Kluyveromyces lactis: one gene and its partners. The protein of the gene in region 5 purifies or fractionates together with the protein of the main gene of each other region. This does not show direct contact. Links are inferred from orthologs where the notes say so. Each region holds a gene or a part of one and is shown on either strand. Other genes may lie near its edges.

Region 1 (3,395 bases), on a different chromosome or scaffold from region 5:
GACTTTGACTGTCAAATAAAGCACTGAGTTCGGCACTTTCGGCATCAGATAATGGTCCCAATTTGTCCATTTCTGATTTAAGTTCATTTAAAAGCTCAATTTCTGAGTTTTCCTGTTGTTGTGGTTGCTGTGCTTGGGTTGATTGTAGTCTAGTACAAATCCGAAATGATCTTGGGCTCATAGCCGCAAAACTTCTTGTAACTCTTGTAAGCATTATTAACTAGCCGTTGTATTATTAGTAGGCTGTTGTGTGGTTATGCAGGTTTTCCCGGTGTACACCTTTCTTACTATATAGATAACTTATCGATTTCCTATGGTAAATGCCGGCTGAATCGTTCTTCATCTTTTCAACTATGCTTGAAGCTTTAATTTTTCAAAATTTTCAGCTTGTAAGAAGAAGGGACACCTGTGCACCTCATAATAAATGTAAAAGAAGCTATAACATACATAAGGCAGTCTATAATTTAATCATGCTAATTATTCAGATGCAGTGGATCCACTCAATGAGTCCATATCCTGACCATTTTATCTTTCCCACCGCTACATACACGTTTACCGTCTACAGACCAATCTACAGTGTAGACTTCATCTTGATGACCGGGTAGATCGACGGACAGTTTTCTAGTTTTGACATCCCAGACTTTTAAAGTGGTATCTTTGGAACAAGAAACGAGTAGTCTACAGTCGCTTGACCAAGCTACTTGGTAGACACTCGCTACATGTCCTCTAAAGGTGGATAGGAATTTACCATCCCTTCCATCCCATAATTTAATGGAGTTGTCAAAGGATGCAGAAACAATGTAACGGCCATCTGGCGAAAATGCAACGTGGTTGACGAGCTTTTGGTGGCCGGTCATTCTGGTAATAGGTTTAGTAGACTTCAAGGGGTTCCACAGATACATAGTAAAATCGTCACTGGCAGTTACCATCAGTTCTTCGAAGTCACCTTTTCTTTTAGCAACTTTTTCGTAATTTTTCAGAGCCTTCTGTTGGGCTTCTTCAGGTGAAGCAGGAGTTTCGCCCTTGTGATCGAACGCACCGAGTCTTAATGCATAATCTGTTGAAAGTGAAAGATGATTAACCCAATGGGCGTGTGATTTTAGGATATTGATACATTTACCGTTCAAATTCATGTCCCAGCATCTGATTGTTTTATCGTGAGAACCACTGTATAGAACATTTTTTCCACCCCACTTGACACAGGAAACAGAAGACGTATGGCCACATAAGGTTAAAAGGCAAACTCTTCTTGTTGTATCCCAGATTTTGATAGTTCCATCCTTGGATGCAGTTGCTAATCTCGGTTTGTCACCAGGTTTGACAAGATGGATTGGTTCCCAAGATAAGGAGGTAATCCATTTCGAGTGACCTCTTAAAGCATCACCATAAGGCTTACCTTTGCTTGATTCCCATAATCTAATTGTGTTGTCCATAGAACCTGTGGCGATTAATTCACCATCTGGAGACCAGGAACAACATAGGACCCAGTTGTGATGGCCTTGTAACGTGCACATACGCGTTTGAGTGTCACAATCCCAGATACATGCAGTATTGTCACCAGCACCGGTAACCATCCTGGAGCTTGTATTTGGAGCAAATGCAGAACACAAAATTGTCGAGCCATGACCAGCAATTGCAGAAGACGACCGAGTTACTGGTTTTACTTTGAAGATAGCTCTTGGGGTATACACTAGAGTCAAAAAATCTTCGGTAGTTTTCAAACCTGGTTTTAAAATGGATTGATATAGATTATCTCTAATATCTACCATTTCCTCATCTGCATCCTTCTTTTTGTTGCTAACTAAACAGCTAAACGTGTATGGAACAGGATCTGCCGAGTCTCCATTTAACTGATTCAACAATTCCTCCAGTTGCTGCTCCGAAATACCACCTGGAACCCTTAGAGAACCTCCAACAGTTTCACCACTGTCAAAAGCTTGGAATTTAATGAGAACATTTGGAAGGTCTTTGGGAATAAGGTCAACTCCACGTTCAGCTTGAGCTTCTCTTCTTTGCTTCTTTGAAGGCGGTGGGAGTAAGGTTGCCATGTTTCGTTTGGATTGCTTGGCCTAACAAATTCAGAGAATTATTTTGGGCTCGTTTAATTACCTAAAAACTTCTTTCGAGAAAAGACCTGTGATTATTGCTGGAATACTAATATCGTTCACCAGAACCTTCTCCTTTTTAGGGAAGTCGACTTGGTAGTTGAAGCTCATCTCATCTCATCTCATCGGCATCTCAAAAGATTTTCTTGAACTTAAGAATTTCTTTTAGTTCACCACTTCCGGGTAATATAAATCTTTATTATGTTGAAACTATGCTCTGAATACCTTATGGGGAGCATCAGGCACAAAAAATTCCTAGACTGCAATTTACTTACTGGCAAGCAACTCACAGATAACGGAAAGTGCATGTTACATTGATACTATACGGATCCGGCATTGTTTAAAAAAAAGTCAAACAAAAGTTCCTATTATTATTATATATACATACAATACTTATACAAAAAAAAAATCTATGGTTACAATTGTTACATATGATCGTCATGGGGAGGAAACTTTTATGTCTATCAGAACTAGTTATGAGTTTCATTATTAAAAGATTCTGCATTGCCACCAAATGCAATGTTACGTATTTGAGAAATCCAGGGATCAAGTAACAATTCCATTGCAGTTGCTCTTTTATTGGCATCTTGTATTAAGCATCTGCTTATGAACTTTCTACCCGCAGATGAAATTTCAGACTTGGTTGGGAATTGCGGAAGGTGACCAGCTGCAACATGATACATGATAGCCCATTCATTGTCTAAGTTAGCCCATGGACGTCTACCGGTCACCATTTCCAGTACAACACAACCTAAAGACCATATATCATCGGATCCGAATTTTCCGTGTCCTTGACCAGTCACCGTTTCTGGTGCCATATACATCGGTGTTCCGATCATATCTTTCCCGCCTGTAGATTTGTTATTGGCATCCAGTGATATCCTCTTTGATCCGTTCTTTGCAATGAGTTTTGCGGCACCAAAATCTACATATTTGATAACGCCATTACGATCCAATAAGATATTCTCCGGTTTGATATCTCTGTGCACAACTCCAGATTGGTGCAAACATGCCAATCCCTCAAGTAATTGTAGTGTGTAAACTTGAGTTACCATTTCATCTTCAATCCGGCCATGTTCGAGTAAACTGGCTAAGGAGGAACCCTCGCAGAATTCCATAAAGATATTAACCTTGTCTCTGTGAACTTCCACACCATAGTACTGAACAATATTCGGGTGATTTAAGATCTCCATGACGCGCATTTCTTCTTTGAGAGATGGGAAAATTTGCTTCATGGATTTAGCATCTTGGATTTTGATCTCTTTTACCGCTAAAATATCACCAGTATCT
Region 2 (2,169 bases), on a different chromosome or scaffold from region 5:
AGCTCCAGTAAATGGCCTTTATCCGAATGGATAATCTCTCCCAAATCCTTTGACATTGTTTCAATTATTTCAACGGCACTGAGCAAAAGATCCCTTTTAACAGAGCACTAATAAATTCACCGTTCGAAATATCAGAGCGTACCGAGACGTATCTCATACACTATAAACTTAATCCTGTTCTATCGTTAAGTTGACACTCACATCCATCATTAGAAAATCATTGAGAAATATCCATAACAGTAATTTTAGTGCAAGGTGAGCGAAAGAAAACTGGTTCTTGTAATTAATTTGGCTGCTTTAGCTCAGTTGGGAGAGCGTATGACTGAAGTTCATAAGGTCCTGTGTTCGATCCACAGAAGCAGCAAATTGGTTTTAATTTTTGTCAATTTCCCACATACTTTTTCATCGTCAGTATATACAATTGCGGAGGACGGAACAAGCCTAAATCGTTAATGCAGATATGTCTTTATTCTATTATACAGTATTTATGACTTTATGTCTCAACGCTCTTTCAAAGCCTTATTTCTCTTTTCTCTTCTTCTTAGTCTATCGACCTTCTTAGCGTGCATCTTGGCAGCCAATCTATCGTACCTTTCTTGTTCTTCCTTCTTTGCTCTTCTTTCCTTCAAAGCTTGAATAACAGCGTCTTTCTCGGCTTTCTTCTCCTCCTTCAAAGCACGTACCTTTTCCTTGAACTGCTGATCTTCTAGTCTCTTTTGTTTCTTCAATTCCCATGAGGTCAACTTCTTATTCTTCACGACTCTGTTCTTAGCCCTCAAAGGTTCTTTCTCTACCTTCCAGGTGCGGCCACTAACGGGCTTACCCTTGATCTGTATATCCTGCTGTTCTGCTGTATTGTCTGACATGATAATTCGTACACTTTCGCGATTACTACAGTAATGGTTACTCCAGTCACGACCACTTTGTTACAACCTTTGTATGTGTTTCTCTCATCTCATCTCATCTCATCTCATTGTCTCTCTAATTTTTCACTATCACATAATAATGAAAAAGAAATCTTTAACATTAAAGATTGAAAAATTTCTAGTTAGAAATGAGATGAGATGAGATGAACTTACCATGAAAGTATTAGTTCAAAAGTTCAATCGGTGTTATCTGTCGCTAGATCATCGATTAATTGAATTATAGTGTAAGGAACATATAAAAGGTGCTCTTTTGATCTTTTGGAAACCACTGTAAGAGGGAATGCTTTCACTTGGAAAGAATGGTAAGACTTCGTCAACACTGGTACGAAATGCGCGAAGGAGTGTGATCATGCCAGCTAGCAGAGATGTTAGATCTCGTAAGAGACGGGCGAGATCTGTCACTGATACGAAAGATGTGTTAGATTTGGATTCAATCGATTTCACTAATGAGAAGGAAGTTCAGTTCAAGGTTAATCAGTTGAAAGAGTTCACCAGAAATCTTCGAGAACAGATCAAGTACACTGATGAGCTAAAGCGTAAGCATGTTATAGAAGAGGAGGAGACAAAATCGGTAGATCCCGAGATGCATGATTTTGACAGCGATGCTGGAGTTATTTTAAGTTCATTGAACGATAAGGTAGCGGGCCCTGGGGCAGAACAGAATCTTTCAACTCTTTTGTTATCAGATAAAGCTGATACATCGTTACTACCCGAGCGATTATCAGAGAGGATAAAGGACAAGGACCTCATTTTGAGGTGTTTGTTTGATAAGAGGAATAGGGATTTTAATCCGATAGTAACAGAACTATACCATTCAGAACAGAGACTAAAGGGTTTAGGAATCCAATTTATTTATTCCAAGATTCTTTCGAAATTCGATAAACTTTCCTTTACGAGCTTATCCCAATTGGATGAGATGATAATGGAAAGCGTTGGGAATGACTCCTCGCGGTTAAATGGTAACTTATACGAGCATCTCATGTTGTCTTTTTCTCGGGTTACATCACCATCAGCACAGGGCAAATTGGAAGTATGTGGTAAACTTCGAGAGTTAACAGAGAGAATGGATGCTACATTATCGAAGAAAAGTTTCCAGCCAACACAGTATATGCTAAATGCTTGTATATTTGCAGCTTCAAAAGCCATGAGCTGGGAGTATATGGACTTTTTTTTAAAGAAATTCACCTCGACGTATGATATGCAACCTAACAGAAAGAACTATACGACAGTCATTTCTTTCTAT
Region 3 (3,924 bases), on a different chromosome or scaffold from region 5:
TAAGGGCACATAGGAGAGAGAAAAAAAAAACTGTCGCCTGATAAACCGATAGAGAAATAATAGAGGCAATCAAATATAACTCAAGCAAAATGATGTTGGTCGACGGTTAAATATTCCAGGTATACTGAGATTGTTTTGGTGAAATATTTATGTCAGTGTTTCCTTTTTTTCTATTTTATTTAGATCCTACAATTTTCATCCTTTTTATTCTTCAAGATTAGTCAATAACTTTCAAAGATAAAATTGTTACTGAGGTCAGAGGGATGTTGGTTATTTGGTCAAGGAAAAGCAAATCAAAGGTATAACTCTTATAATTTTACAGAGTACGTAACTATTTTACAAATAAAGGAGTAATAATTAAATTTAACCCACCCAATGCAGACAAATAAATGAAAGTAGTGACTAATATATATAGTTCAATAGAGATAGAAAAGAAATTGGCAACACGATAATATATGTTCGAAATCACCAGTGATGGAAAGGAAGGAAGAACAGACAGTTTAACGGAAATCAGTCTTACCAACACCACGCTTACCTGAGAACAAATGTTTTGGTAGAGAGGCAGTAGCATGTCTGTCAGATTCACCGGCTCTGGCCATTCTGTTTCTTTCTCTTCTTTCTAATTTGGCCATTCTTTCAGCCTTCGATCTCATTGAACCATCAGCAACACCGTCTGTCAATCTATCTGTCTGTCTTAGCTTACCAGCTGGAGCAGAATCTTCTTGATCACCGTATACCACGTCAGCACCAGTTTGCTCATATCTGTTCTTTTCAGCAGCGACTCTTTGCTTATCTTGCAAAGCAGTCATATCGTGACCTAAAGAAGACATGTGCTTCTCCATGTCACCATATGTCTTTGCCAATTTAGAACGAGGCATGGTACCACGGTTCTTCAATGCCTTTCTGTTTCTTGAAGCATTGATCATCTTCTTTTGTCTATCTCTAATCCATTCTGCCTTTTCTCTGATCTCAGAGATTTCGTCAGCATCAAATCCTTCGTAAGTTTCTTCTTCGTCGGATTCATAGAAGCCTTCAGATTCTAATCTTTCTTCTTCTTCCTCTAAAGCTTGTAATTTGATTGCGATTTCTGGATCCAAGAAGTCATAAACGTTCTTACCATCTAAGATTTCTGGCATGACATCGTTCTTCCATTCATCGTCTTCCAATAGATACTTGTCCTTCAAATTAACGTTGTATACACCGGCCCCACCGTTTTCGATTTCAATTTCTTTAGCCAATTTTCTTCTGTTTGGATCTTCTGGATCATATTTCTTCATCTTAGCGATGGCTTCTGGAATATATGGAGTTCTGTCAATACCATCATCACGCTTTTGAGGTTGAGCGACGTGGATCTTGTTTAAGACGTTAGTGATTCTAGCTTGAGATTTTAGCTTGTTTTCAATTCTGGAAGCCAACAACTTTTCACAAGCCTTGTTTCTAACAGCCATAACGTTATCTTCTTCATGACAAGAAGTGGTCATGATTTCAACACCTGGAACTTCCAAAACAGTATCCAAAAGTTTCTTACGTTCTTCGTCTAAATCTTCAGGTTTAATGATATCAGTCTTGTTAATGACGACCATGACGGATTTATTGGCAAACAATGGTTTGATCGAATGGAATAATTTGACTTGAGCTTCAATAGAGAAACCACACTGTTCTGATAGATCCATGAAGTACATAACAGTAGAACGCAAATGAGCAATAGCATAAATGGATTGCATTTCGACGTTGTTCATTTCATCCGTAGGTCTATCCAAGATACCTGGAGTATCAATCGCTTGGAATCTCAAGTATTTATAATCAAAATGACCCACATATAGCGACTTGGTGGTGAAAGCATAAGGTTGCACTTCGACATCAGCCTTAGTGATACATCTCAAGAAAGAGGATTTACCCACATTTGGATAACCGCAAATCAACAAAGTTCTGGTGTTTGGGTCGATGGATGGCATTCTACCCAAATGTTGTCTAACTTGTTCCAAATACACTAAAGGATCCTTCAACTTCTTCACAATGGTAGCCATTCTACCAAGAGCGGCTCTCTTCAATTGTTTACATTGGAAAAGAGATTGACCGAATTTTAACAATCTTGTGTAATCTCTTTCAACTTGTTCGACCAATGTCTTAGCACGACTCACAGCAGCCAAAGAAACTTTGAAATGATTCTTTTCATACAAAGTATCCATCAAATCCCTATGGAAAGGATGCACGTCGTTAATATTAGGGAAACCTTTCAAAATATCATCAAATTTTTCCACGAACCCTTCACCGGTGAACTTCACCTTTCTCATGTAAAACGCTCTGATACGAGTGATATTGAAACCTGGTCTAATAACAGTAGGTGTCTTTCTTTGAGTTCTGTTCAACACAATGTCCAACAAGTCATTGGCAGGAGCCACGGTCGGAATATCTTTCCAGGATAATTGCATTGTTGCTTAATTGATTTGACGTAAACTTTGGGATACACGCACACACGGGGACAACAAAAAACAATTAAACTAGCAATAATGCAGTTAAGCTATGCTTAGTTGTTTGAACAAACTTCCAATCTATTCAAACTACCTGTCAAACGGATGTCACACTGATAATCAAGCTCTGTCTATCACTTCGAATGCACAATGAGATGAGATGAGATGAGATGAGCTTGCCGTTTGGAAAATTTTCCCACTACTGCAAACCTTTGAAAAGAAAAAAAAAATTGTGCTTTCAGGATTTCTTTTTCGTATGGATCTCAGAATTGACCGTTAAAGGCATACACATTGGTTATGTCACGTGACTAAAGCACTTTCTTTTGAGACTGTCGGGGTAACAATATATTTTACTGTTAAAATGTATGTGAACATTTTATTTACGGTTTACGTTTCAACTTTCAATATATACAGAAATATCAATGAGATTTTGATCTGAAAGAATACAGCTTGAGTCCAATCTCTAGATTCATTATAACTTTCTAATCACTACCTGATAATTGCCTAATTTCCGGTAGAATTGCCTTATCCGCCTTTTTTTTTTGAATTTTTCTCTTCAAATATAGATTTGTTTCGTTACTATGTCGGAACCAAGCCCACAATCTACGATAGCCATTGCCAATCTACTCAGGACTCATAGCGACTTGAAGCAAAGACAAGGATTGTTCCAATCGCGTTTAGTTGACTTCTTCCGTTATAAAAGATTTGTTAGAGCTTTGAAAAGTGATAAATATAAGGCAAAGTCCAAAAAACAACCCGAATTGTACCCCGCTGTGACAAGCGATGAAGATGCTCGTAACATTTTTGTTTCCTTAATCAAGGCCCAATTTGTCGTACCAGCGGTTAAATTACATTCTGCAGAATGTAAAGAACATGGTCTAAAGCCAAACAAATCATATCCAAACTTATTATTATCGAATAAAGCGACTCTACAACCAGATGAATATTACGTCTGGTCTTATAATCCAAAATCAATTTATGATTACTTGACTGTGATCGGTATCATAGTCGGTGTGCTAGCATTCGTGTGTTACCCATTATGGCCTCCATATATGAAACGTGGTACTTACTACTTATCCATTGCAGCATTGGCACTTATCGGTGTATTCTTTGGTATTGCAATTGTGAGATTGATAGTTTACTTGTTGTCATTAGCTGCAGTTAGCGAGAAGGGTGGGTTCTGGCTCTTCCCAAACTTGTTCGAAGATTGCGGTGTTATAGAAAGTTTCAAACCGCTATATGGATTTGGTGAAAAGGAATGCTATAGCTTCCTGAAGAAAGAAAAGAGAAAGCATAGATCAGTTGCAAAGAAGCAAAAATAACTTCAATGTAACGGACTTCCATCCCAGACTGTACATTAGCAATTTAACTATCACAGAAGGTGTATGTTCATTCTTTCGGTGAGAATCACATACTAATATCACATATAAACATACAAACATATATAAATATA
Region 4 (4,154 bases), about 800 kb from region 5:
CAGCGATGTCGTTACCAACCCATTCGTCGCTTACGCTATACTTTGAAATGTACTTGTCAATGATAGACAATAGATCAGAGATGTCACGGTCAGGAGAATGAACATAAACTTCGGTAAATCTTGATCGAATACCTGGTGGTAAATCTCTCTTACCGACATCTGTAGCAGGGTTCATACAAGCGAAAATTCTGAAATCTGGATGGGCTTTTATCGATTCTGCCTCACCTTTTTCAGATAGAAGTATACTTCTAGAGTCACTTTCTGAAAGCAAATCAGCTATGTTTTCAAGCGTGTCTGCCGAGGCCAAGTTGACTTCATCCAATAACAACCATTCTCCATTTCTGACAGCCTTCACCAAAGAACCTTCCACAAAATTAAACACAAACGAGTTTTCCAAAGTAGAGGATTGTAATTCAAATGATTCAACTGTTTGTCTGAATTCCTTCCATTTTTCCAATAAAGCTTGTTTACTCTCAGGGTCGAGTTTACGCTTTTTTTTCTTGTCAGCTTCCTCTTTCTCATTTGAGTCCTTTTTTAGAATGCTATCAGCCATTTTAATAGCTTCTTTCCAAAGTTTAGCGACGTTCTTCCATTGCCCCTTGGAGAAGCACTTATGGAGGAGTTTATAGAACTTCTCGTTCTTCTTCAAAGAGAATGTAGCAAGGAAAAGCCCCTCAAAATCTTCTAGAATTGGAATTGCGACAGTCCTACAATTCACAGGCTTGTAACCACCTAATAGATCACCGCTCTCAGTCTGCTGGGAAACGTTAATAACCGTCAAATTCTTATTCATTAGCTTTGCTAACTCTTGAACTACAGTAGTTTTACCAGTACCGGTCTCACCGACTAATAATGTTGGTTCACACATTTTGACGGCAACACCAATTTGTTCCATTAAACGAAGAGAATGATTGGTAAACGCAAACGATGTAGTGTTGGCACTTTTTTTATGAATAGTTGACTTGGGTCTTCTTAGGTGAGCTCTTCCAATTTTCACATCATCACCAGCTTTTTCGATTGCCGGTACATGCTTGTTCAAGAACAACGTGATTCTGGAAACTGAAACTTCAAGCTCTTCTCCAATTTTCTGTACTAAGGGCTGTACGGCTCCATATTCACTAATCGAACCAACAAAACAATCGACAGCTTCAGCAAAAATATCATCATAGATAGACGACTCGATAAGTTGATCCGGTTTAACAACTTGATTAGCTTCAAAAAGTTCGGTGATTCTCTGACTTAGTTTAACTAAATCTCGAACACTAATGATTCTTGGTTGAACACCTTTGTTCAATGAAACAAATTGTGGATTTCTGTAAATATCTTTCACAGATTTGTAGGTGCTGATAAGTTTCGGTATTAAGGCAGTTAACAAAGAAAACCTTTTTTGTAGAATAAGCTTCAAATCGTCTTCAGACGGCTCATCTACAAGGATTTTCTCCCATAATCTCATACCAATCAGGTCAGACTCATGCGTAATGCCACCATGGGAGGTGTGCTCGTCTAGTCTTATTGTTGCTAATAACTGGAAACCGTTGGCAGCTTTGATGACTTCACCTCTAGATGGAATGGATATTTCTCTTTTTTCAAGAAGGGTAAGAAGAACAGACAAGACTTCGGTTGGCGCTTTGTTGATATCCTCGATAAGTACCCATCGTCCCTCTTTAACTGCTGTTGTGAGAACACCGGATCTCCATTCAAAAGAACCGGGTTTTTCACCTGATGTATATGTACCCAAAAGTAGTTTAGCATCAGTTTGTTCACCTAAATGAATTTTGACAACAGAACTATCGCAGTTCATTTTTTTTGAAAGCTCATTGATCAAAAATGTTTTACCTGATCCAGCCTTACCCACAAGCATTACAGGCTTGTTGCGCTGAATACCTTCGGCCAATTTTTGTAAGGCCAACTTGGCACCATCCGTATATACTAGATCTGACTTTAGATGTTCTTCATTAGAAGGTGCTTCGGAGATTCTGGCAATAAATACACCACATACTTCAACAATCAACGACGAAAGTTCATTGATATCGATGTTGAACGATTTTCCAGTTGGTCTGAAGTTCTTTGGATAAGAAACAAGTTCATTGATTTCATTTGGTAGACTATGGTAATTTGAGAGCCTTTTAGCTTCAGTAAGTTCCAAAAATTGATAATCTACATCGGAAGCACCTTCAAATACACTTAAGATAGGTTCAGTTGACAGTTTAAGTTGATTTTGGACCACAAGTTCACAGGCGTGCTCTGCCATTTCAATAAGCATATTAAGAACTTTTAATGACAAAAATTTGATGATTGTAGATTGGTGTGCCAAAAGTGAATTAAGAGTTTGAGCATTGATATATCTCTCAAATCTGATCTTGTCATACTGAATCAATCGATAATAAGCCAAAAGGATCAACTCGATGTCCTTTGGATCATGAGCTTGGTAAGTTTGTAACAATGCGTTAAAGTAGTCACCATTTCTGAGCAAGAACACTTCGATCAATTGCGAAGCTTCCGGATATAAACTTGCAATTCTGCCCAATGCGTGTAATACCGTGACAAACTTCTTGGAGTCGTGTTGCAAAATCCATCTAGAGCAACAGTCCAAGAATATATTCTTGTAAATGTATAAATGAGGAATCGTTAAATCTTCTTTTAACGAGGAAAATGCTAAATTCGACAAGTTCTCATCGGTTGAAAGCTTGGCATCAAATCTATAATAGTCAGACAAGTGCTGCTGAGTAAAAGCCTTCTGGTATATAGTGAAGTTTTCCTCGGCCGCAGTAACATCTAAATAAATTAATGCAGAGGACATGGCTATAGTAATTCAATCCTTCGCCCCTCTTATAAGCAATTCTTCTTTCTTTCCTAGTCAATAAACAGAGGCAGAATAGAAAATATCCGTTTCGATGTTTTGATACTCTGTGAAAGAAGTGATATGCCTTACTTTGCTAAGTCTATAGCGGATCTGCAGTTAAATGTATCCTACACTCAATTTGGCAGTTTGTTTAAAGTCATCTCATCTCATCTCATCTCATCGCTTTTGTTTAAAAAATTCTCAGAGCACAGAAAAACACCAAAAAGAAATAAATATTTCAGTGAAAGAAAGATATACCTGCAATCCATCTCATCGGCAAAAGAAAAATGGATGGGTAAGAGAAAAGAATGCTTTGAGAGAGCCATTAACAGCAAGCCTAAAGTTTACAATCCATCTGAACTCCATTGTCTTCCGATACATTCCTCTGTATGCAATAATTATGGTCGGTAATCCAGTTTTACGTCCGGTTGACATGAAAATGCAACCTGCTCCGTATCAAGACAGAGTTAGAGTTGTCCAAAAGATATACACACAGTTAAAGAGGTTTCAATCGAGCAGCCCTCACATTATAAAGGCATCGACTATTTGGGAACATGAGGTTGCTAAAATAGCAAAAACAAGACAAAGTTACGCGTTCAATGCTTCCATTCTATTACGAGATATTGTTAAATATAAGGGTAATCTTGATAAAACTGGCAAACCTAAGAATAATAGTTCGTCATTAATACAAAGGTCCCACGTATTGCAAAAACTACGATCTTTGCTACTCGACGAGGAAACACTCAGTAGGAACGGATTTTTTGTCAAGATGTATGACACTGATCCGATCAATGAATCAGAATCAGATTATGTGGAATGCTATAGATGTGAAACTAAATTTGATGTGACAAAAATTATGGAACCGACAGTATGTCGGTACCACCTTCAAAGGAAAGTATATAACAGAGAAACTAAAAAAAGAGAATTTCCTTGTTGTGGAGCTTCCCTTGAATCATATTCAGACATATCTGCAGGGTGTATGAAAGCGAAAAATCACGTTTACAAATGGGAGAATTTCACAAAACTGTCGAGTGTGGTCCCTTTTAAATCTCTCGTTGATATCAAAGGCGAAGAGAACGTTTTGGCATTAGACTGTGAGATGGCTTTCACATCGAAAGGGTATGAAATGATTAGAATTACAATAGTTGACTTCTGGTCCTCAGAAGTAGTGTATGACAAGGTAATAAAGCCACTGGGCGAAATTATAGATTTAAATTCTAAATTTAGTGGGATTCATCATATAGATGATACTGCACCTACAATTCATGAAGCAGAAAAATGTTACATCTGTCCTAGCATGATCAATCAAAAT
Region 5 (2,974 bases):
TGGAAGATCATCTTTTTACCATGTTGAAGAGATACAGATTCAACTTCATATCCATCTCTCAACGCCCGTCTTTGATAAAATACCATGACTACCTATTGGAATTGACTAACGGAACTGATTGGAGCCTACAGGCATTAGGGTCAGACGAAGCTATTTTATCAATCGAAAATGAGATTGAAACCCTAAACCAAAAGCTAACAAAGGTAAAAGAATGGGAAAGGCAGAGAGATGAACTACAGGCAAAGTTGACATTGGTGTGAAAAATTGGTTTGAAAATTTAAATCTGCCAAGTCAAATGAACTATTCTTGGTGTGTAGTTCAATCAGTAGTAAAAGTGTCGGATATTGTATTCATTACTATTATATAATATAATCACAGAGTTAATGAATCTATTAATATTTTGCTCTATATAAATTATGCAAGAAAAGCACAGGTACGTCTGTGTATTTTATTGTACAAATGGTACGGAATGATGTATAGAAAGAAAAGAGCAAATTAATCTATTTGAAGTCCTTGTAAGTCCATTTCTCAGTGACTCTTGGTTTATATCTTCTACCTTTTCTAATAGGGATACGAGATTCTACCCTACCAGAACTTTGTAATGCTCTCACAGTGTCATATAGCAGATTACCTTCTGGTCTTAATTTTCTTAATGAATCTGATAGTTCATCTGAGAATTTCACCTCTAAATTGTCTTCCATGACGGAATGTTTAGTACCAAGCTTATGCTTCTTGTTCTTTTTAACTTTTCCGGCTGTAGAGACCGGATTTGGGACGGTGGATTCCACTTCCTGCTGAATTTCCTCTAATTTTTCAAGTTTGAGAACCTTTTCCTTCAATTTCTTTAATTCTTGCTGAAGTTTGACTTTTTCTTCGTGTCTTCTTTGTTTATTTCTCTGATATTTCGTTTTCTTTTTATTCTTAGTTGCTGGATTCAGAGACAACTTAGTCTCTTCTCCCTCTTCTGAAAGGTCTTTATCATCAAGTTCTGATTCATTTTCTTCTTCTGAATCGGAGTCCTCTTCCTCCTTATCTTCAATAGTATCCATCAAGTGTTGAATTCGTTGTTTATATTGTTCTAAAGCTATCCTGCGCTGTTCATTTATCAGCTCACCCTCATATTCAGTACTTATAAGAGCCTCCCATTCTTCTTTGCTTGGATTATATGACTTTCCTGCATGTGGAATGACATCTCTTTCTTTGACAATTTCTGGCACGCGAGCAATGGAATCCGGCTTAACAGTTGCGACGGACCAACTAGTTGTAGACTGTTTTAAGAATCCATTTGGAAGTTTCTCTACTTCTTCTGGTGCTATCTTAAGCTTCAGTCCAGATGGTACTTTAACCTCCTTACCAGCATCTTCGCCCCATAAATCAAGGGATCCTGACTTCACAAGACCTTCTTTTGCAACTCTTGCTTTCAACTTACTTTCACCAATTTTTTTACCAGCTAAAGCAAGTAATCTGTCCAGTTCTTTCTTTGATACCCCTTGGATCTTATCATGTTTCTTGTTAGCAGTCTTTGGGTTGGTTAGAGCAGGCACTTTGGATTTAGACTTGATAGACTCCAAAATCTCGGTTGACTTCAGAGTTTTCTTGATTGCTTTCCTCTTCACTAATTTCTGCTTTAAAACTTGGTCACCCTCAGTATCAACCGCAAAAAGCGCATCATCGCTAAGTTCTGTCAAATTCTGCTTACCATGAGTAGTCTCAAGGATCTGCTTCTCTTCGAGCTTGCGTTCCACATCGCTTATATCAATATTCTTTCTCCATGCCTTCTTACCTTTACGAGAAGATTGTTTGTACTGAGCTGGTCTGTCCTTAGATCCCGCCATAACTAACTATTTTGTCTGTTTGTTTGAGGTGGATTGTCCTGAATAGTATGGTAAGGATTAGTAAAACGATACGCCAGTCCCCGAGTATTAATTGTGTACTTGAATTCATCTCATCGCATCGCATCTCATCTCTTTTTTTTTTTTTCATCTTATTGGCATCGGATTGTCTAAATGAAAAATTGACATAAAAAAAAAGAAATATGATTATTCTCCGGGTAACATTCACTTTCGAAGCAAAGTAAAGGATATCGATTCATAATAGACAAGGAGATAGCTGTCGAATGTCAATTAGGAGAGGAATAGTCTAGAATCGTGTGATATTGATAAGTAACATCTGTAATTGATAAAATAAATGATTCTTCAATCGAATTATATGCTATATATTTGAACGGATGTCTGAAAAAATATTACTGTATTGTTAGCCTACTCCGTGTGGGAGCTTCCTTCATGTTCTTTCGGCACCTCTACTTCTGTTTCTGTACTTTCTATTGTTTTAAGCTCTGTTGGTTCAGATTCAAGCGCTTTTTCCTTTTGAGCCTCAGCGTCAGCATCTGGTTCTTCAACTTCTTCCTCAAGTTTTTGTTTCTTCGAAACAGCTTGTTCTTCTTCATTCCCGTCAGCCTCTGGACTATCGTGTCTTCTCTTTAGTGAATCATTATCTTGATCATCAGGCGAAGTTGTTTTATCATTTTTTCCATTTTCCAGAGTTTCTCTTTGACTTTTTATCTTCGCTTGAAGTAGATCTTTCCTTTCTTGTTCCTTGTCTTTGAAAAACTGTTCAGCCTCGGCGACTTGTTCGGAATGTTTCTTCTTTTTTGACTCTATTCTTTCGGCTAGCCGTCTTTTCTTAGATTCGATATCATTCCTAATGAGTTCTTCATTGGCGAACCCCGCCAGAGTAGTTTTTTCGCTGACCTTATTAAACTCAAACAAGTATTTCGGCCTCAAAGATCTTAGATTCTGCCATTGTTTTACTATGACATTATCAGTAGTGGTTTCATCACCATCAGTTTTTTCAGTTTTATCCTTGTATTCGGATATTATAGTGTCATATAGTTCTGAGGGATCTTGTCTATTGTTTTCTGAATACTTTCTCGCTAAATCTAAGCCTGATTGCACTTTCCATAGACCGTCTAATT
Region 6 (2,492 bases), on a different chromosome or scaffold from region 5:
CGTGCTCGATGTGGATGCACGTAAATTCGAGAAATTCAACGAGGATTTATACGATAAATTTATTATTATAGCATATAACGGAGTTCATTATGATACGGTAGAGATATTTGATGGAACTCAGCATCAAACTGTATTTGACATCGGAGAGAAAGATACTGAATTCCTTTTACAAAAAACACAGGAGATCGCGAAGAAGATGAAAAGAGAGGGGAAGTCTTTCAATACTGCAAGAGATTCAATTTTATGCAATACTTGTGGCACCACCTTGATTGGAGAACGAGAGGTGAGCAAGCACGCTGAGAAAACTGGTCATGTTGATTTTAGGCAAAAATAAAACAAATATAACCATTGAATAATATTGAAGAAAGAAATAGCACTTAATATATGAGCGTCTGTATATCTACCAGTTTATATAATTGCACTTTCGGTGTATTTCTCTTGTGTTAAATGATAATATACATTGAAGAAAAAGCACAGGAAGTGAAAATGTTTTCCTGCATCTAATCAGCCATTTGAATTTCCCCTTCAGCAACTACAGCTTCTTGCTGTGCTTGTTCCTGTACTGCACCATCAAGGTATGGCAAAGTGGATTCTGTTGTGCTGACGTTGGCCAAAGTGGTATCAAGATGTGAGGTTAATATCTTTTCGTTTTCCTCCTTTTGAGGACCAATTTGAGATTTGATCTGCTCTACTCTAGCCAAGAACGAGTTCACACCACACCCAACAGCAGCATCTGCTACCTGTTGAGTGTATGGAACACCTTTCAATTCCTTCACCCTTCTCTTATGGATTTTAGTCTTCAAATGAGTCTTTAAGGCATATGCAGTTTCGAAATATTTAGCACAGTGTATGCAGTAGTATTGCCCTAGACCCGGTTTAGTTTCATCTATCGGCTGATTCAGGAGACTATCAATTTGCTTTTGAGATGTAAGCTCTTCATAGATCAAATCAAGATCCTTTGTTCTTCTCTTCGTCTTGTAACGTTTAACAGAATATCTTCCCATTTTCCTTTCTTACCTTCTCCTATATTTCTGACAGGCTGGTACCACAGATTAACTTAAACTATCAAACAAAACCAATGAGTATCTAAGTCTCATAGAGAAAGAGATTCAATGATGTGTGTTTGTACTTCTTTCTTCGCACTTGGCTTTATCGTAGAAACACCGAGTACATAAAATTTTCTGCAATATCATGTCTCGTCTCATCTCATCTCATCTCATCGACTTGGAAAAGAAATGAAATTTCAATCAGCATCACGTGCATAACAACGCATCTGGGACTGCTATCCCCAACACCCAGACACTATTACATATTGGCATTCAACATATTTTTATGATACAAAAACAACCACAATAGGAAATAGAGCACGTGATTAGTAACTATTTTCTTTGATTTGTTTTCACAGTAGTTTCTTACCGTGTGACTTCGCTACGACTTTCCAATCTTTTTCAAGTTTCTGACAAATGCAAAAGCTTCCTGCAATAGTTGGTGGTAATCATCGAGATTTTCAAATGTAATAAAAAGAGAACATAATTTAATGATAATTATCGATATCTTTAACATAAGGTTTGATCATTCGCTTCAATTTTGTTTATTATTTACAGGAACACCGATCACCTATCACCGTCCAAAGTAATTCAAAATGGCTAGAAGACCAGCTAGATGTTACAGATACCAAAAGAACAAGCCTTACCCAAAGTCTAGATACAACAGAGCTGTTCCAGACTCTAAGATCAGAATTTATGATTTGGGTAAGAAGAAGGCCACTGTCGATGAATTCCCATTGTGTGTCCACTTAGTTTCCAATGAATTGGAACAATTGTCTTCTGAAGCTTTGGAAGCTGCTCGTATTACTGCTAACAAGTACATCACCAAGATGACTGGTAGAGATTCTTTCCACTTAAGAGTCAGAGTCCACCCATTCCACGTTTTGAGAATCAACAAGATGTTGTCTTGTGCCGGTGCCGATAGATTGCAACAAGGTATGAGAGGTGCTTGGGGTAAGCCTCACGGTTTGGCTGCCAGAGTTGCCATTGGTCAAGTTATCTTCTCTGTCAGAACCAAGGACAACAACAAGGACACTGTCATTGAAGGTTTGAGAAGAGCTAGATACAAGTTCCCAGGTCAACAAAAGATCATTATCTCTAAGAAGTGGGGTTTCACTTCTTTGAACCGTGAAGAATACGTTAAGAAGAGAGACGCTGGTGAAATTAAGGACGATGGTGCTTTTGTCAAGTTCTTGTCCAAGAAGGGTTCTTTGGAAGAAAACATCAGAGAATTCCCAGAATACTTCGCTAAGGCTTAAATTTTTTATGTGTTGAATCAATAATAATTTCATCGTCATTTTAAGTAACCTAACCTACATACTATTTTAGCTTACCATTATGTTTTGGAGTTAATTCAATATCATTTTTCTTTCCTTCTCTTTAATCTCAAGTATGGACAATTCTCCCGAATAAAATGATACAAACCTATCCTTTGGCAATTACAAT
Region 7 (4,251 bases), on a different chromosome or scaffold from region 5:
CTGAGACGAGCTAGTCTAGGCAGTAGTAAATCGTTCCCTCGAGAGTAACGCGTTGGAACATATGCCTTCCCGGCCCCATTTAGTGCGGGCCAGCATCACGGGCCACAGCCCGTGATGCGAAGAAGGCTTAATGCCGACGCATGAATATAGCTGATAGTGTCGAGATTTCCATTCAAGCTGAAGTTCCTCAAACATCCTGTAGTGGTCTCTTTTTCTTTTCGAGTTTTTTTTTTCCCTGTTAGATCATGTCCTTCTCGGTCCAAAACCGTTGGCACACCGTTAAGCCGTGTTAATAGTCCTTTTTGACCTGGGATATGAGCAGCAGACAAGTGGTCTCGGATGGTGATATCACATTGGCTGAAAGGACAACTTCAAAACTGGGCTAAATGGAGAAAATGAGTTGGTCACGTGACACTGACGTGTCTTTTTTTTCTATCTTTTATATGCTGTGTCTACAAGTGCCTATAATTAATATAACTACTTTTGCCATGCCATCTAGTTTAATTACCTTTCTTCTTTTGCTTCGTGATATGAGCACGCAAGACCTTTTGTTTGTCACGAAGCGACATTTTTTGCTTACCCTTCACAGATCTCTTATGGATCATCATCACAAAGTTCTTCTTTCTAGATTTCTCTTTATTTGTAGTTGATCTCATTGAACTGTCACGCTTACCACGCTTACTTCCGTATTTTTCACGGTCTTCACGACCTTCCATAATAGATGCCATTCTTTCCTCTTTGTTCTGTTTCTTGTGCTTGGCTGGACCCATAAGCTTGTAATGCTCAATAGTTTCTTCGTTGTTGATCCCCATAAGTTTAGTAACACCCTTTTCAGTACGTAGTTCTTGAAGTTTAGCGAAATCGGCTGGTGTTAAGATACGACTGGATGCTAATTCACGGAAAGCTTCTTCTGGGTCAGCGGATTCACTTTCTTCCTTCTGCTCTTCTCCCACCTTTGGTTCTTCTTCATCACCGGATAATTCTAAATCACTATCTTCACCAGCTTCCGGTTCGACTTCATCGTGGGAACGTTTCTTACCCTTATGACCTGTTTTGTTCTTGCTTTCCTCATCGTCAGAGTCCATGTCAACTTCGTACTCTTTATCGCTTTCTATCGTCACCCACTCACCTTCTACATCCGAAGCATCTGATAATTCATCCCGGTTGTTCAAATCCCATGCAGCCTCATCATCATCATCCTCCTCGTTTCCGTTCTCACGCTTCCACTTCGCTAGTAACTCAATACCATCTATACCTTGTACATTAGTAGTCTCGACACCAAACTTGACACGTTTGGATTCCCTGCCATTGCGTTTGTCGTCCTGTAGTCCCATAGAAGCGGTCTTACCACGATCTTTCTTCTTTAACATCTCCGGAGCAACTTCTCTGTATAATGCAATCAAACCCTTAGCAGCAATGGCGACACTCTTGGCCTTGGAGCCCTTATATTCGGTTAAATCTTGTAGTAAAGTCTCATCGATAGCTAATGGGGCACGAGTCAAGATTTCTCTGACTGTATTCAAACCCACAGTGGCAACCTCATTTGAAACACCGTCGCTAACAAACTCGTTGGCTATCTTCCTCACCATCACTTCAATGGTCTCTGGAGGAACAAGATCATGACAGGATTGGGCTGCAGCAGATAGAATCTTGGTAACGTCCCTTTGCTTTGGCGTCAGGTATTTTAAGAAGTATGAATATAGTCCAAGAACCATTAACTTGTGTGTACCTGTTAAACGGGATAATAATTGCATGATGGCAGTCTTTTGTTCGAAATCAAATTTGTTCGAATTCTTACCACTTAGATGTCTTTCAAACAATTTCTCGGCAAACCCTTGTGGATCACGTAATAGATGGATGGCACTGAAATTTAAGAAATTATTCTGTTGAACACCTTTAGCAGATTTCTTCTTTACGACCTTAAGTGCTTGCTCTAGCTTCTTACCTCTTTTACTAGATTTCTTGTTGATCTGGAGCTTGTGCTTCAAAGCGGTAGTATCGATTTCATCCTCATCGTCGTTTTCTTCAAACGCTTCTTCACGCTCTTTATCAGCATCCAAAAAGAACAAGACACCACTGTATGCAATTTTAACATCGTTATGTAGTGCAGCATGGGTCATAATTTCAACCGATCTTGAATCGTCCCAGATACCTCTTCTCCATAACTCTCTTGTCAATTTCGATGCCCATATACCTTGAGAATCTGGCTGTTCCAACAAATTGAAACACAACGCATGGGTAGATTTGTTTAATTTTTGGTTCTTACCACTGGTGTTACAAGATTTCATCAACTGTACTAGAGTGTTGTAGATTAAAGTTCTTAGCTCTTTGGCGTGAGAATTCTGGACCATCGAATTACTAGGGGAAGAGTATGCAATAAGCAATGGGAACATAGTTTGAATCAAAGTCTCAGGGCTGATAACGTTCTTATTTCTCAACATAGTTAGACTGGTGATAATCTTTTCTTTCACGTCAAACGGAAGCGATTTGTGGTGATCTAATACTAACTGTTTCAATTCGTTTGGGAAGTTTGCCGTTTCACGAGGATAACAGGAACAAACTTGAGATACAAATCCAATTGCTCCCATAAACTCAGCCATTGCACTTTCATCAGTGCTCTCGTTGTTGACCGAATTTAACATGAAAATGTCTCTTAATGATTGGTAGTGAGCATATTGCTGTAGAAACTCTTCACGATAGGATTCAGGATCACGCTTAACAAGGTTCTGCAAGAGAATAATGTTTGTCGGTAGAATAGCAGCACGAGATCTCCTAACCATATTTGTTTCTTATTTGATTATGTGATTCCTTTTCACTGTTCGGAAATACTTAGTTGATTTGCACAAGTTCGAATAGTGTTAGGCAACTTTAGTTGTCTCGGAGTGATATACTTTGTTCATACATAGGTTCTATCTCATCGCATCTCATCTCAAAATTTTCTTCCTTCTAAAAAATTTCTTTTCACTCACGGTACGGAAAGAAGAAACCAGAGGCAAAAAGTGGGTTTAAGGCTCTTTAATATCTGAATAGGCAAAATGGTATACTGATGGTAGCTTATTATTGTGTTCCATAAATGAATAATAGTCCACACCAAACGAATATTTGTTTGCAATGTTTATAAATTATGTACGCCGTTTAAATATAGTTCCAAAAATATAATCGAAATGAAATTGATACACCAATTTAGTGTAAAATATTAAAATAAAAAAGAGCAAAAACAGACATCTGTATCAAGTAACGATATGTAAATAGCAGTTGGTATTCATATAATTTTCTTGAGTTTGATCTGATGGATATCGTACAAGAGAAGAGAAACAGTGACGACGTAGAAACTATTTTTGTCCAAAGAGACCGTTAATAGCATCGTAATTGATCTTCTTTGAGAAAGTCGTCTTTTGTAATAGATTCTTGACACCTCCAGCTGCGACAACATCTACAGCATCAGCGTCATCCACGGAAACATCAAGCGGTAGTCCGTCGACTTGAACTTTGACGATGCTTGCACTGGATTGGTTTCTATTAGTACGTTTGCTGCGTTTTTTTCGTAGCGAAGTATTCCCACTGGCCAAATCTGCTTCCTGTTTGAGTCTTTTTGATTCTTGTTCAATCAAGTAATCACCGTTGATATCAATCCAAATACGTTCTTTCAATTTGGAAGCTTCTTCATCTAACAAGTGAGAATCCAATTCTGCATCATCAACATCATCCAAATTTTCAGGATGATCGCTGACTTTTGAAAGCAGAGAAGCTGTGGTGGGTAATAAATGTAAATTTCTTGGTCTATATGGATCCTTTTCAAGACTATATCCATCAATTTCATCCAGGGAACGTTTCTTGTCTTTCTCAGTTTTGTGTAAGTCTTCTCCATCGATTCCATGCGTAGCTTTTATACGACTGAATTCAGCTTTTCTGCGTTCAGAAAGCTTCTTCAAATAATAAAGGACTTCTTTAGACGATAGTTCCTGCGCTCCGAGCACTTGAGTCAAAATTGGATTTCTTGACACGGCTTCCTCGCTTGTCTCCAACATCTCTTTAGTATCCAAAGAATCTTTTATTTTCTTTTCCTTTAGTCTGTTCTTATCGAAACTAGGAGGTTTCGATTCGGCACTTCTCTCACCCTCATTTACCTCAGTTTCATCATCACGGAACTCTTTCACGGAGAGCTTAGCTGATGTTGTATTCTTAAACTCATTCAATCTTTGCTGAAGCGTTTCCTCTGCAACATGAGATATTGCCACGATTTCAGAATGC

The links.
Region 1: the proteins of NOP53 (region 5) and RSA4 purify together in Saccharomyces cerevisiae (affinity purification with mass spectrometry; 5 studies listed by BioGRID, with this or other methods). This does not show direct contact. The link is inferred for Kluyveromyces lactis from reciprocal best matches to the Saccharomyces cerevisiae genes NOP53 and RSA4.
Region 2: the proteins of NOP53 (region 5) and CGR1 purify together in Saccharomyces cerevisiae (affinity purification with mass spectrometry; 3 studies listed by BioGRID). This does not show direct contact. The link is inferred for Kluyveromyces lactis from reciprocal best matches to the Saccharomyces cerevisiae genes NOP53 and CGR1.
Region 3: the proteins of NOP53 (region 5) and NOG1 purify together in Saccharomyces cerevisiae (affinity purification with mass spectrometry; 7 studies listed by BioGRID, with this or other methods). This does not show direct contact. The link is inferred for Kluyveromyces lactis from reciprocal best matches to the Saccharomyces cerevisiae genes NOP53 and NOG1.
Region 4: the proteins of NOP53 (region 5) and REA1 purify together in Saccharomyces cerevisiae (affinity purification with mass spectrometry, with the first as the bait; 3 studies listed by BioGRID). This does not show direct contact. The link is inferred for Kluyveromyces lactis from reciprocal best matches to the Saccharomyces cerevisiae genes NOP53 and REA1.
Region 6: the proteins of NOP53 (region 5) and BUD20 purify together in Saccharomyces cerevisiae (affinity purification with mass spectrometry; 3 studies listed by BioGRID). This does not show direct contact. The link is inferred for Kluyveromyces lactis from reciprocal best matches to the Saccharomyces cerevisiae genes NOP53 and BUD20.
Region 7: the proteins of NOP53 (region 5) and SDA1 purify together in Saccharomyces cerevisiae (affinity purification with mass spectrometry; 5 studies listed by BioGRID, with this or other methods). This does not show direct contact. The link is inferred for Kluyveromyces lactis from reciprocal best matches to the Saccharomyces cerevisiae genes NOP53 and SDA1.

Annotation. Positions count from the first base shown.
Region 1 is NC_006039.1:748,390-751,784, reverse strand, and holds RSA4 (Rsa4p), read right to left. Parts: upstream 2,049-3,395; coding exon 501-2,048; downstream 1-500. Other genes in the region: IMG2 (mitochondrial 54S ribosomal protein mL49), read right to left, coding at 1-214; mitogen-activated protein kinase kinase kinase SSK2, read right to left, coding at 2,576-3,395. UniProt on the Saccharomyces cerevisiae protein: Involved in ribosome biogenesis. Required for processing and efficient intra-nuclear transport of pre-60S ribosomal subunits.
Region 2 is NC_006041.1:950,129-952,297, forward strand, and holds CGR1 (Cgr1p), read right to left. Parts: upstream 867-2,169; coding exon 501-866; downstream 1-500. Other genes in the region: KLLA0_E10737g (inositol oxygenase), read right to left, coding at 1-56; CCM1 (Ccm1p), read left to right, coding at 1,207-2,169. UniProt on the Saccharomyces cerevisiae protein: Involved in nucleolar integrity and required for processing of the pre-rRNA for the 60S ribosome subunit.
Region 3 is NC_006041.1:2,150,259-2,154,182, forward strand, and holds NOG1 (putative GTPase NOG1), read right to left. Parts: upstream 2,433-3,924; coding exon 501-2,432; downstream 1-500. Other genes in the region: Sec63 complex subunit SEC62, read left to right, coding at 3,053-3,793. UniProt on the Saccharomyces cerevisiae protein: Involved in the biogenesis of the 60S ribosomal subunit.
Region 4 is NC_006042.1:1,851,630-1,855,783, forward strand, and holds the start of REA1 (AAA family ATPase midasin), read right to left. Parts: upstream 2,801-4,154; coding exon 1-2,800. Other genes in the region: REX3 (RNA exonuclease), read left to right, coding at 2,964-4,154. UniProt on the Saccharomyces cerevisiae protein: Nuclear chaperone required for maturation and nuclear export of pre-60S ribosome subunits.
Region 5 is NC_006042.1:1,055,269-1,058,242, forward strand, and holds NOP53 (Nop53p), read right to left. Parts: upstream 1,836-2,974; coding exon 501-1,835; downstream 1-500. Other genes in the region: ATP-binding cassette long-chain fatty acid transporter PXA1, read left to right, coding at 1-260; HPR1 (Hpr1p), read right to left, coding at 2,259-2,974. UniProt on the Saccharomyces cerevisiae protein: Late-acting factor in the nuclear maturation of 60S ribosomal subunits, which is required for normal acquisition of export competence. Required for the export of the large subunit.
Region 6 is NC_006040.1:486,379-488,870, forward strand, and holds BUD20 (Bud20p), read right to left. Parts: upstream 1,005-2,492; coding exon 501-1,004; downstream 1-500. Other genes in the region: ubiquitin-specific protease OTU1, read left to right, coding at 1-334; RPL10 (60S ribosomal protein uL16), read left to right, coding at 1,643-2,305. UniProt on the Saccharomyces cerevisiae protein: Involved in pre-60S ribosomal particles maturation by promoting the nuclear export of the 60S ribosome. Involved in positioning the proximal bud pole signal.
Region 7 is NC_006037.1:498,626-502,876, reverse strand, and holds SDA1 (Sda1p), read right to left. Parts: upstream 2,781-4,251; coding exon 501-2,780; downstream 1-500. Other genes in the region: transcription factor TFIIIB subunit BRF1, read right to left, coding at 3,333-4,251.